2 linked regions of the Drosophila melanogaster genome follow. The protein of the gene in region 2 interacts with the protein of the main gene of each other region in a pairwise test. Each region holds a gene or a part of one and is shown on either strand. Other genes may lie near its edges.

Region 1 (4,612 bases), on a different chromosome or scaffold from region 2:
ATAGCCGTTAAAGCTGTCGGTGGGAAGGGATCCATTCCTCGTTCTCCACCAGTAACATTAACAAAAACAAAAATAAAAAGGAAAACAGCAGCTTTTCACGTCCGATGATGCCCAGTTGCATGACTTCTTGTTTTTTGCTCGAACGGAAGTCCTTTCGACGCCATTTTGCGGTCGGCTATTGCAATTGAGTGCAGCCCCGACTTCATCAGCTTCCAGTTCCGTTCTCCTCAGCCCCAGGGATCCGGATCCCTCGAGGAGCTCAAGGATACGTGCCCGGGCACTCTGGCACGCACTTTAAGTTTCATTAAACAAAACCATCGCGCCTAGGCCTTCGAAGATTGCCTATAAATTCATGGAAGTCAGTGAAATGGAAAGCAAAATCTATGGCGGACGCAATTTGGTACAGTGTGCTGTCGGAAAACAAGATCGATACTAAAATTCCAAATGCTGATACAAATAAGAGTAACTAGAATAATGAATTTTTTTGTTACATTAAAAATGTTTTTTTTTCTTGTTCGTTAACTTTTAAGTCATCTTTCGAAGCTTCACTGTATTTCTCGCCGTTTTCCGACGCTGCTGACACAGCAGTGGAAATCCGTTTGCATTTCAGTGAGTCCAGGCTGTCGGGTGGGATTCCTATTGCCAGACCCACATTCCTTGGACGACCATTAAATCTGCAACAATTTACTTGTGATTGACATGTTTATAAGGGTCGTAACCCACAGAACCCCTTCCCTAGACCATTTTTCCAGGGAGTGACCCTTTTCTGGTGGAGATGTTTGTTTTTGTCCCCTTTCATAAACGAGTGAAGCCTAAAACGGTTCTGGACTGCTCCTTTTTTTCATTTATCACGCAAAGAGAAATAAATCTTTGATATTTGTGCTGTCAAGGAAGCATACTAAATATCCTTCTGCACTTTCCAGTACTTTTCCTTGGCGAGGCGGAAGATATTGAAGTGGACAACAATTCGTGGCATTGTCTGAAAACTCTCAGCACACACAATTAAAAGTTCCCACGTCAAGGGATACATGAATAAAACAACAAAACGAGTGCGTGAGGAAGAAAACATAACTGAATCGAACGGATAATACCCTAAAAAACAGAGACAGATATTAGTGAATTAATTAGGAATAAAAATCACAACTTATCAACTTTAGAACTCGTATTTGAATAAACTTTCCAAATGAACATCCATTTAATTGAATTCCCACATATAAAACTCTCTTGCCAAGTTCATCATACCCATAAAAGTAGAAAAGAAGTGGAAGCAATGAAAATAAAAAAAAGTGTTCCACAGAATCTTCGATATCTCCATTGGCGGACAAAACGCGTGTTTTGTTTTAATTTTGCACTTGGAAGAAGAAAAGAAATCCCAACCGGTTTTCAAAGGCGCCCCCCTAAAAAGGGCAAAACGTGCGGGTAATCATCAGCCAGCGCAGTAAAAAATGAAAATACGAAATACTACATACAGTTCACGATCAATTGAAATGCAACAAAAAACAGCTGACATGCAAGCAACTGCAACTCGAACGCACTTCGAGCCGCAACTCGAACCGAAAAACCAGGTTGGCACCGATCGTGGCTAAGATCGAAACAAAGTTTGGAAACTTTCAGTTGAGCGCGAGAATTCCACGCGGGCGGACGGGGCGGATGAACGATATCGGTGTCTTGTCGGTTTTATTCTGGTGTCGAAAAGAGCGATAAGAACTGAATTCGTTTCGAAATACTGAGAAGTAAGACACCAAAACGATAAGGAGTCGCCGCTCTGCATGTTAAAACCAAGTCGAGTTACTTCACATGGAACAACACGCAAAATGAACTAAAAACTCATTTCGAAACAGCTGAACACATTTGTCAGCTGGTTAAACAAATTTTGTGTGGAGAAATGCTAATGAGTTCCGTTGCTGTTGCCGCTGAACTTTTCAATTAATTTAACAGCCCATCGTCGTTGGCATAGATCTTATCGCCATATCATAAAACAAAAAAATAAAAGCCCAGCCGAGGAAAACAAAACCCAAAAAAGGTTCTCAAGAAAGTTTAACGAAATTGAAAGAAAACAACACAGCAGCTCAAACGGTTTTTGTTGCTGCCATCTATTTTGGAAGCGATTTTTTCTTTTTTTAGGCCGAAAGGTGCGCCCGATTCCAAAGATTCGAGGCATTACGAGCCCCGCGGGGTTCTCAATTTTCAGCTACCCTTTTCGTGAGTTTTTCGCTGAGCTCAGTGGGATATAAAAATATAGACATAACTCTGCTCATATTTGCAAGTATTTTTCGTACTGACATTTGAAACCAGAAATATGTATGCCCCATCCCAGAGTTGCTGCTGCAAGGTTGTTTTTTTTTTACCTGTCCTCTGCCATTAATTGAAATCCAATGCGGAAGGGGCGTAGTAAAGTGCATTGAGAAGGGGTTTTTGGAAGGGGGCCAACCGACCGCTAGGCTATGACAATTATTACAGCTTCCCAAAAGCGGCCAAAGAAACAGGTTGCTCTCGCTCCTGCCATCAAAAACTCGCAGTAAAGCCAAGTAGTGCAAATTGGTTAGCATAGAACATAGAACATAAAACATAAAAAAGGGGAAAGGAAGTTGGGCCTGCAGTACCGGGTTTTAAATACACTTTATAAGGCAGAAAATCAAAAATATACCATAATTTAAATAAGTGCCTGCTGCAAATGTCACTTTCTATAATAGCAAAGCTGGTCTTATATAACTAATCTAATCTATAATTTCTATCAAAACATATATATATCAAGACAAGAGTTAAGCAGATCTCCGAATACTCTTTGGTAGAGTAAAGAAAAAGCGGAGCAAGATGGGGCTGACTGAGAGACAGGAAAAGAGGCATCGACCACTTACGCATAACTGTAAGATAGACTGGCAGCAAACAGGATTTCTGGCACGTACTTCTGGCTCACAAGTGAAAGAATTACTTGGCTCTTTTCCTCCTCTATGTAGCATATATTGTACATACCATATAGCGTTTGGGTCTGCCGCGCCCCTTATCAACCGACAAATTAAGTTCAAACTGCTGCTGCTGGCCGGCATGGAAAAGAGCTAAAACTCCAATTTGTGTCAAAATACTCATGCGCAAAAATGGAATTTTTCCATTAGGCCAGAGAGACCCAAACTGAAAAAGCCAACAAAAAACTCCTAAACTAACATGAAAACAGTGAAAATCATGTGGAGAGACTAGCTAGGCACTGAGAGAAATTGAGTAGATCGTAAAAGTATTTTACAATAATGCCATTCGTAGTTAAATGAAGTAAGCGCTGGTTGCTTCGTTTAAATGGCCTGCAGCTATTTAAGCCAAACTATCGTTTTAAGGGTATGAGCATTTTCCTCAGTGTACCAGACTAAAGTAAAGTAAAGGCAACCAAAGTTTCAGGCTGCAACTTGTCAAACGTGTTCCCCAACAAAGTCTCGCGGCATTTGGAAATGTGCAGCATTGTGCAGCGGCAAGAAAAACAGCAGCAGCAGCCACAGAAACGAAAACAACTCGCATAACTGTGACTTGTATTAATTTTCAAGCTTTTCCAAACAGCCAACTGCAAACAAAAAGAAAATCCTAATACCGCGTTGTCTCAGCAGCAAAATGTTCGCGGCGACAAGAGGCTCAATTAGCATTTAGAAAAGCCGCATCGTCATCGCGATCCCATCATTAAACTCCCTATAGATGGAGGAGGACGTGCTGAACGCCCTGCAGACGCGGAGTGCCTACTTATCCGGCGGATTCGATCGCCAGAAGCGCATCGTCTTCGTTGTCAACGCATTCAACGATCTGCAGCTGTGGAATCGCCGCTATCTGCAGGTGACTCTGGACTATCTGAAGCGGTCTCTCAGGTGAGAATCGGGAATTAAGTGGTATTAGGCATTTGCCATTAGGCACAGAAACTTTAGAAACCGGCAGTGGAAATGCCGACGATTCATTAGCATATGGCCGAAATATGCAAATAGCCCGCAGATGATGAAGGTTCATTTTTTGTCGTCTTTAATGCATTACTTTTCATTAGACACGGCTCTCTGGGAGGGGTCTTAAAACGGGTCTCGAAAAGCGGAAAACACCTAACAAAATCTGGTTATTTATATGCTAAGTGTCAGATATTTAAAGCCAACTAAATAATTTAAAGTTTCTGAAGTCAGATGATTTGTCTTGAATGGAAAACATTGTTAATATCCACTTACATATATTACTTCAGAGTAACTTGATACAAAGTTCGGTCAGTTTAAGCACACTTTCATTTTATAAACACACTTTACAAGCAACATATGTAAAAATAGTAGTAGCAATAAATGTACCCTCTTAAAAACCTTAAGATAATTTATGAAAATTATATACCGTTCGTAACCTATTTAAACAACTACCTATGGGCTTTACGCCCTTCTTTTGTTATTTCCCATTTAAGTTTGTTTATTTATTGGCACAACAAGCAAATTGTTTAAGTTTACGAGGTAGGCATCAAACAATCTTTTAAATACAGGGAAGAAGCCACATGAATTATGGATATATTGATTGTGATCAATCAACTGGCAGTTCCCCTGAAAAAAGAGTGTCTGATTAAAGCCAAATCCTAACTGGCAAGCTAATGAAGCGCTTAAAGACGCTTTCCTCC
Region 2 (4,627 bases):
AGTATATATCGAGCGGATATATAACAATAAATGAGCTTAAAAGATGATAAGGAAAACTATAAGAACCAAAATGGAATAACCCTACCTAATAGTTGATCTTAAAGTCATCGTGGGCATGCCGTCATAATCAATAAAAAGTGTATAGAATCCACTATCTTAGTGAATTATTATTAGTTCCTATATACGACATATTTTCAACGTAATTAATTTCCTATCAGCTCAAAGCTGATCAAATTGTAATGCACGATATCAGCTAAGCGAATGCAAAAATGTAATTACACTGTGAGTGCAGGCGATACTGATACTAATGACTTCAGTTAATAATACTATAATGCCTATAAGGCCTGCCAAAGTGTAAACACACCCCATCATGGTGCAAAAACAAATTGTATGATTATATATTATAATACTCATGGTTTGCATTGTTATTGTTTTGGTTTCTGCGGTCTTAATACTTTTTGTATCACTATTTTGAGTGTTTTTTTTTTCCTTTTTTGTTTTTACTTATTTAACCCGGTGGAATGGTTCACGTGCACGGCAACAGTTCGGTTCGTCCCGTCTTGATTGGTTGGGCATCGCGATAAGATTACCCATCGACCCACCGACCCACCGGCGCCTTCCCATCGCGAATGGATGGATGTATGTACATACATACATATACATATAGGAGTATGTGAATATTTAAATGCGATTGCGCCCACCCAATTACCGAGTGGTTTGCGGTTGCAGTTGCAATCTGGGCTGCAGTTGATTGATGCGCTGGAACGCGGATGAGTGGGCACGACCAGGAGCCCAAGGACATGGCACAACAAGCGCGGATAGACGAACCAAATCGCTGATCACTGATAGGCTCACGAATGAAAATTATAAACTATTACGTGCAGAAAAAAAAAACATTTCCCACTAATATATATAGTATTTTCAAGCACGTAAAGATTCAAAAGAAACGAATATAGTTTTTAAACTGTCTAGAGCAACATTTTCGTTTTTTCGGTGTATATATATATATATACATATATATATTAAAAATCAATTATGTATTATATACGGAACTTGGAGCGCTTAGCAAAACAAGAGTATCAACAACACAGCAATTGCAGTCGATTTTCCCCCGCTTTCCTTATCATCCATATTAATCAGAATTTAGGGAAGGGGTTCGGGATTGGGGTTTGAGTTTGGAACCGGCCAATCATTAAGCAATCAATCACCTTGCATGTCTCCAGCAGACTGTATAGATCCTCGACCTCGTCGTCATCGGTGGGCACGTATTGCTTGCCGGTCTGGGTGCTCTTGCCCTTGGTTTCGCGCCGGTATAGTGGCAATCCCATGGCGCTGGCCAGTATCTCGATGCCCATGTGGCCGACCGTCTGGTACATGAAGCTGTCCAGTTCGTCTGGAAATTGAAGATGCATGATGAAGAGGCACAGCGGCGAGAGATCAAATAAGGCGTAATGGTGGTAAATGATAGTGCAAATAGGAATACCAATATCGTGTGTGCCAATAAAATGGCACTGTCTGTTTGTCAGAAGAATCCAAATTGAAAGCATATACATATGTGCCTATCAACATTAATGTGATCCTTCTTTCAGAATTCAGTCATGAAATCATGGTGGGACAAAGGAGATGTGGTACGTTTTCTATATCCTTTAAGCTAAAGACTAAGTGATCGTTGTGGACTCACCTCTGTCCTTGGGATGCAGATTGGCCAGGGCGACGATTTCGTGGCCCTCGGCGACGCACTGCATCATGTTGTAGCAGCTGTCCTTGCCGCCACTGACCATGGCCACTACCCGCATCTTGAAGCCGATTTCCGATGCGGTTTCGCTTAGTGTAATGGCTTGTGCTAGTGTGTGTGCGTGCGGGTGTGTGTGTGTGTGTGATGCCTCTGCCTCTCTTTTATCTTTAGCTTTATTTTTGGCTTAGTTTGTGCTGCTCGTTAGTCCCGAAGTGCGTGCTCATTTGGTCTGCTTTTGTTGACTAGACTGATTTGCCGTGTCTTTTGGTTTGTTTTTCACTCTTTTCTCTCTGCCGCCACCTCCGCCGTTCTTGTGCTGCAAAAGACATAGCGATAGAAAAGTAGAAAAACACACACCATAAAAAAAAAACAAATAAATATGGAGGAGCTTGGTAAGGAAGGAGGAGGTAAATTGCCTGATTACAAAGCTTTCAAACTGTAAAAGTGCCCGTGTGTAATTGTTTTAAAACCGTAAGTGCTTGTTGCTCGGAGAAATTGAATTAAAGCTGCGAAAATACCCCCACACACACACGCATGCACAGGCGATCTGATTGCATTATCGCAGGACCTCGCTCTCCGGCTGCCATCCTCTCCTTCGCCACTGCTTCGTTCTCTTCCCCTTTCCCAATTGGAAAATTGCACGAAGGTCACACACACAATCATATACGCGCTCGCGCGCGAATAGATAGATGCTTTTATTTTGCATTTTAGTTTAGAGCAGAATATTTAAACATGTATAAATCTACGTTTTATAAATAAATCGAATTAGTTGCGCCGGCAGAAGAAGCGCGTGCAGCAGCAACAACAAACATGCGGAGCAGCAAAACAAGAAAGCGCAAAGAAAACGAAAGTAAGGCGAAAGGAAATCAAGGAAAAAAACGAATGTGCCTTATATACAATCACACCCACGCACACACATAACCCACAGATTTGACCCAAATATATTATTTTCAACATATAACACTTTATTCATTTCCTTTCCTTTTTTCCCATTTGGATGAACTCACTCTGGATACCAAAACACAACCCAACACACACACACACACTCACACACGTAAGCACAACCGCAATAAACACACATTTTGCGAATTTCGAAAAACAACAAACTTAATGCGCCATGTGGCTGTTGTGCAAAAATATGCCGCTGGACAGGATTAGAGTAATGCTGCGGCGAACGGGAGCGATCATGAACGCTTACCAACCCAGCTGGTCGAGCTTTATAATTGTTGTGCGACAGAACTTTACGCCAACGTAAATGGCCAAATTAATCTTTTTTGCCGCTAATGCAGCGCCAGTGTTGCCAAATGGCGGTGGTCTGAATTCAATAATCGGTTCCGGCCTAGGGCAATTAGATACTAAATAATGCTACAAAAGCTCAAATTTGAAAATGAAAAAAAAAATACTAATTAAAATAATTACTTTTATTACTGAATAATTCGGTGGTGAAACTATACGTTTTTTCAGAGCATATGGTGTTGTGTTTTAATATTTTAAAAGCCGTTAGCTATTCATATTAAGCTGCTTTGCTAATATTTTAAATAAATAGACTGCAACTAGATTTATCCGTTACAAGGACATACACTCGTATATAAAGTCTGGTCACACTCAGAATGCTGTAATATAAAATTTGGTATTTCATATTACAGCTGCACGGTCACACTGGCATAGCACCCAGAAACCAAAAGAGCGAGACAAAAAACAGAGAGAGAAACAGCGCAGCAACCAAAATAATAACAATTAATAATACTAAGTGTCCGCTAAAGATATTGCACGAATAAAGGCAAACGCTCGCCAGCAGTCAGACCAGCTAGTACTAGTTTTTTCCCTTTCGTTCTGGCAGCAGAGTTTCTTGGTTATTTTCTTCTTTTTTTTCTGTTGCGACGCATAAATCGTCTCTTAATCGATATATACATATATATATATATAAAGACCTATGTATATAAGTTAACGGGAGAGTACGAAAACAAGGCGAACGTTTTGCAGATTTAATGTCGCAGTTACTTTTTGTGCAGCAAGAACAACAACATTGGCAGTAAGCAACAGCAGCAGAAAAAACAACAACGATAACAATAACAAAATCATAAACGAAAAACGACGAAAAGGAAACTTAAGTAAAACGTACGACGCAGCGCAGTCGTTGTGTCTGTATTGGTGCGTGTGCGTGAATTTGTGAACGCGAGTGGGAGTGAGCCAGCAATAGGGCTCTGCGTCGACGGCGGCAGCGGCAGAGGAAGACGAAGAAGAAACATACAAAAAATAGTTCAGTTTTTTTCAAACAAAACTCGAGCTCCGCAGTTGAGAATTTGCTGCGCGTCTCGAAAAAGCTTGTAATTAATTAGTAGACGCCCAATATTAAGCAACAACAGTTTGAGGGCGTGGCAAATCAAAATAATAAGAAGCATATAAACACAACATAAGGGGGAGACGGAGCAAAAGAGAGAGAAAGAGCAAGACGCAATTGGAGATTTTGTTGCTGCTGCTGCCGCCTGCAACAACCGAAGATAATAATAAAGAGGAGCTGCAAACAAGAACTAAGAACAACAACAGCAACAACTGACGAAAAGCACACACCATAAAGGAAATCAACAACAAAAGCTAAAGTGAGAAAGAGAGACCAAGTGAGAGAGAGTAGGAGAGCGAGCAGCTGAAACATATGATTTTTGTTTGTGTTGTTGTTTTTGCGCGCGCTCTGCGGAACGTGTGAGAAAAGTGGAACGAGCGAAACGAGTGGCAGTGTTGTTGTGTTTCAGCTGCTGCTGATTCAACCAGCGAACAGCAACAACAACGCAAGTGGTAAGTTCTTCATCTTCTTCTTCTAGTTGTTTCTGTTTGACGCGCAAAAAAAAAATTGAAAAAGAAAAGGAAAGAAAATCGTGCATATACATATGTGTA

Evidence for each region. Proteins that work in one complex are often made in the same cells at the same time.
Region 1: the proteins of CG1578 (region 2) and CG15822 interact in a two-hybrid assay, tested with the Drosophila melanogaster proteins (one large-scale study listed by BioGRID).

The regions. Positions count from the first base shown.
Region 1 is NT_037436.4:2,160,861-2,165,472, reverse strand, and holds the start of CG15822 (uncharacterized protein), read left to right. Parts: upstream 1-1,609; 5' UTR 1,610-1,733; exon of another isoform or gene 1,734-1,782; intron 1,783-3,543; 5' UTR 3,544-3,675; coding exon 3,676-3,842; intron 3,843-4,612.
Region 2 is NC_004354.4:11,813,489-11,818,115, forward strand, and holds the start of CG1578 (uncharacterized protein), read right to left. Parts: upstream 3,064-4,627; 5' UTR 2,938-3,063; exon of another isoform or gene 2,934-2,937; intron 2,256-2,933; exon of another isoform or gene 2,052-2,255; 5' UTR 1,797-2,051; coding exon 1,682-1,796; intron 1,394-1,681; coding exon 1,209-1,393; intron 1-1,208.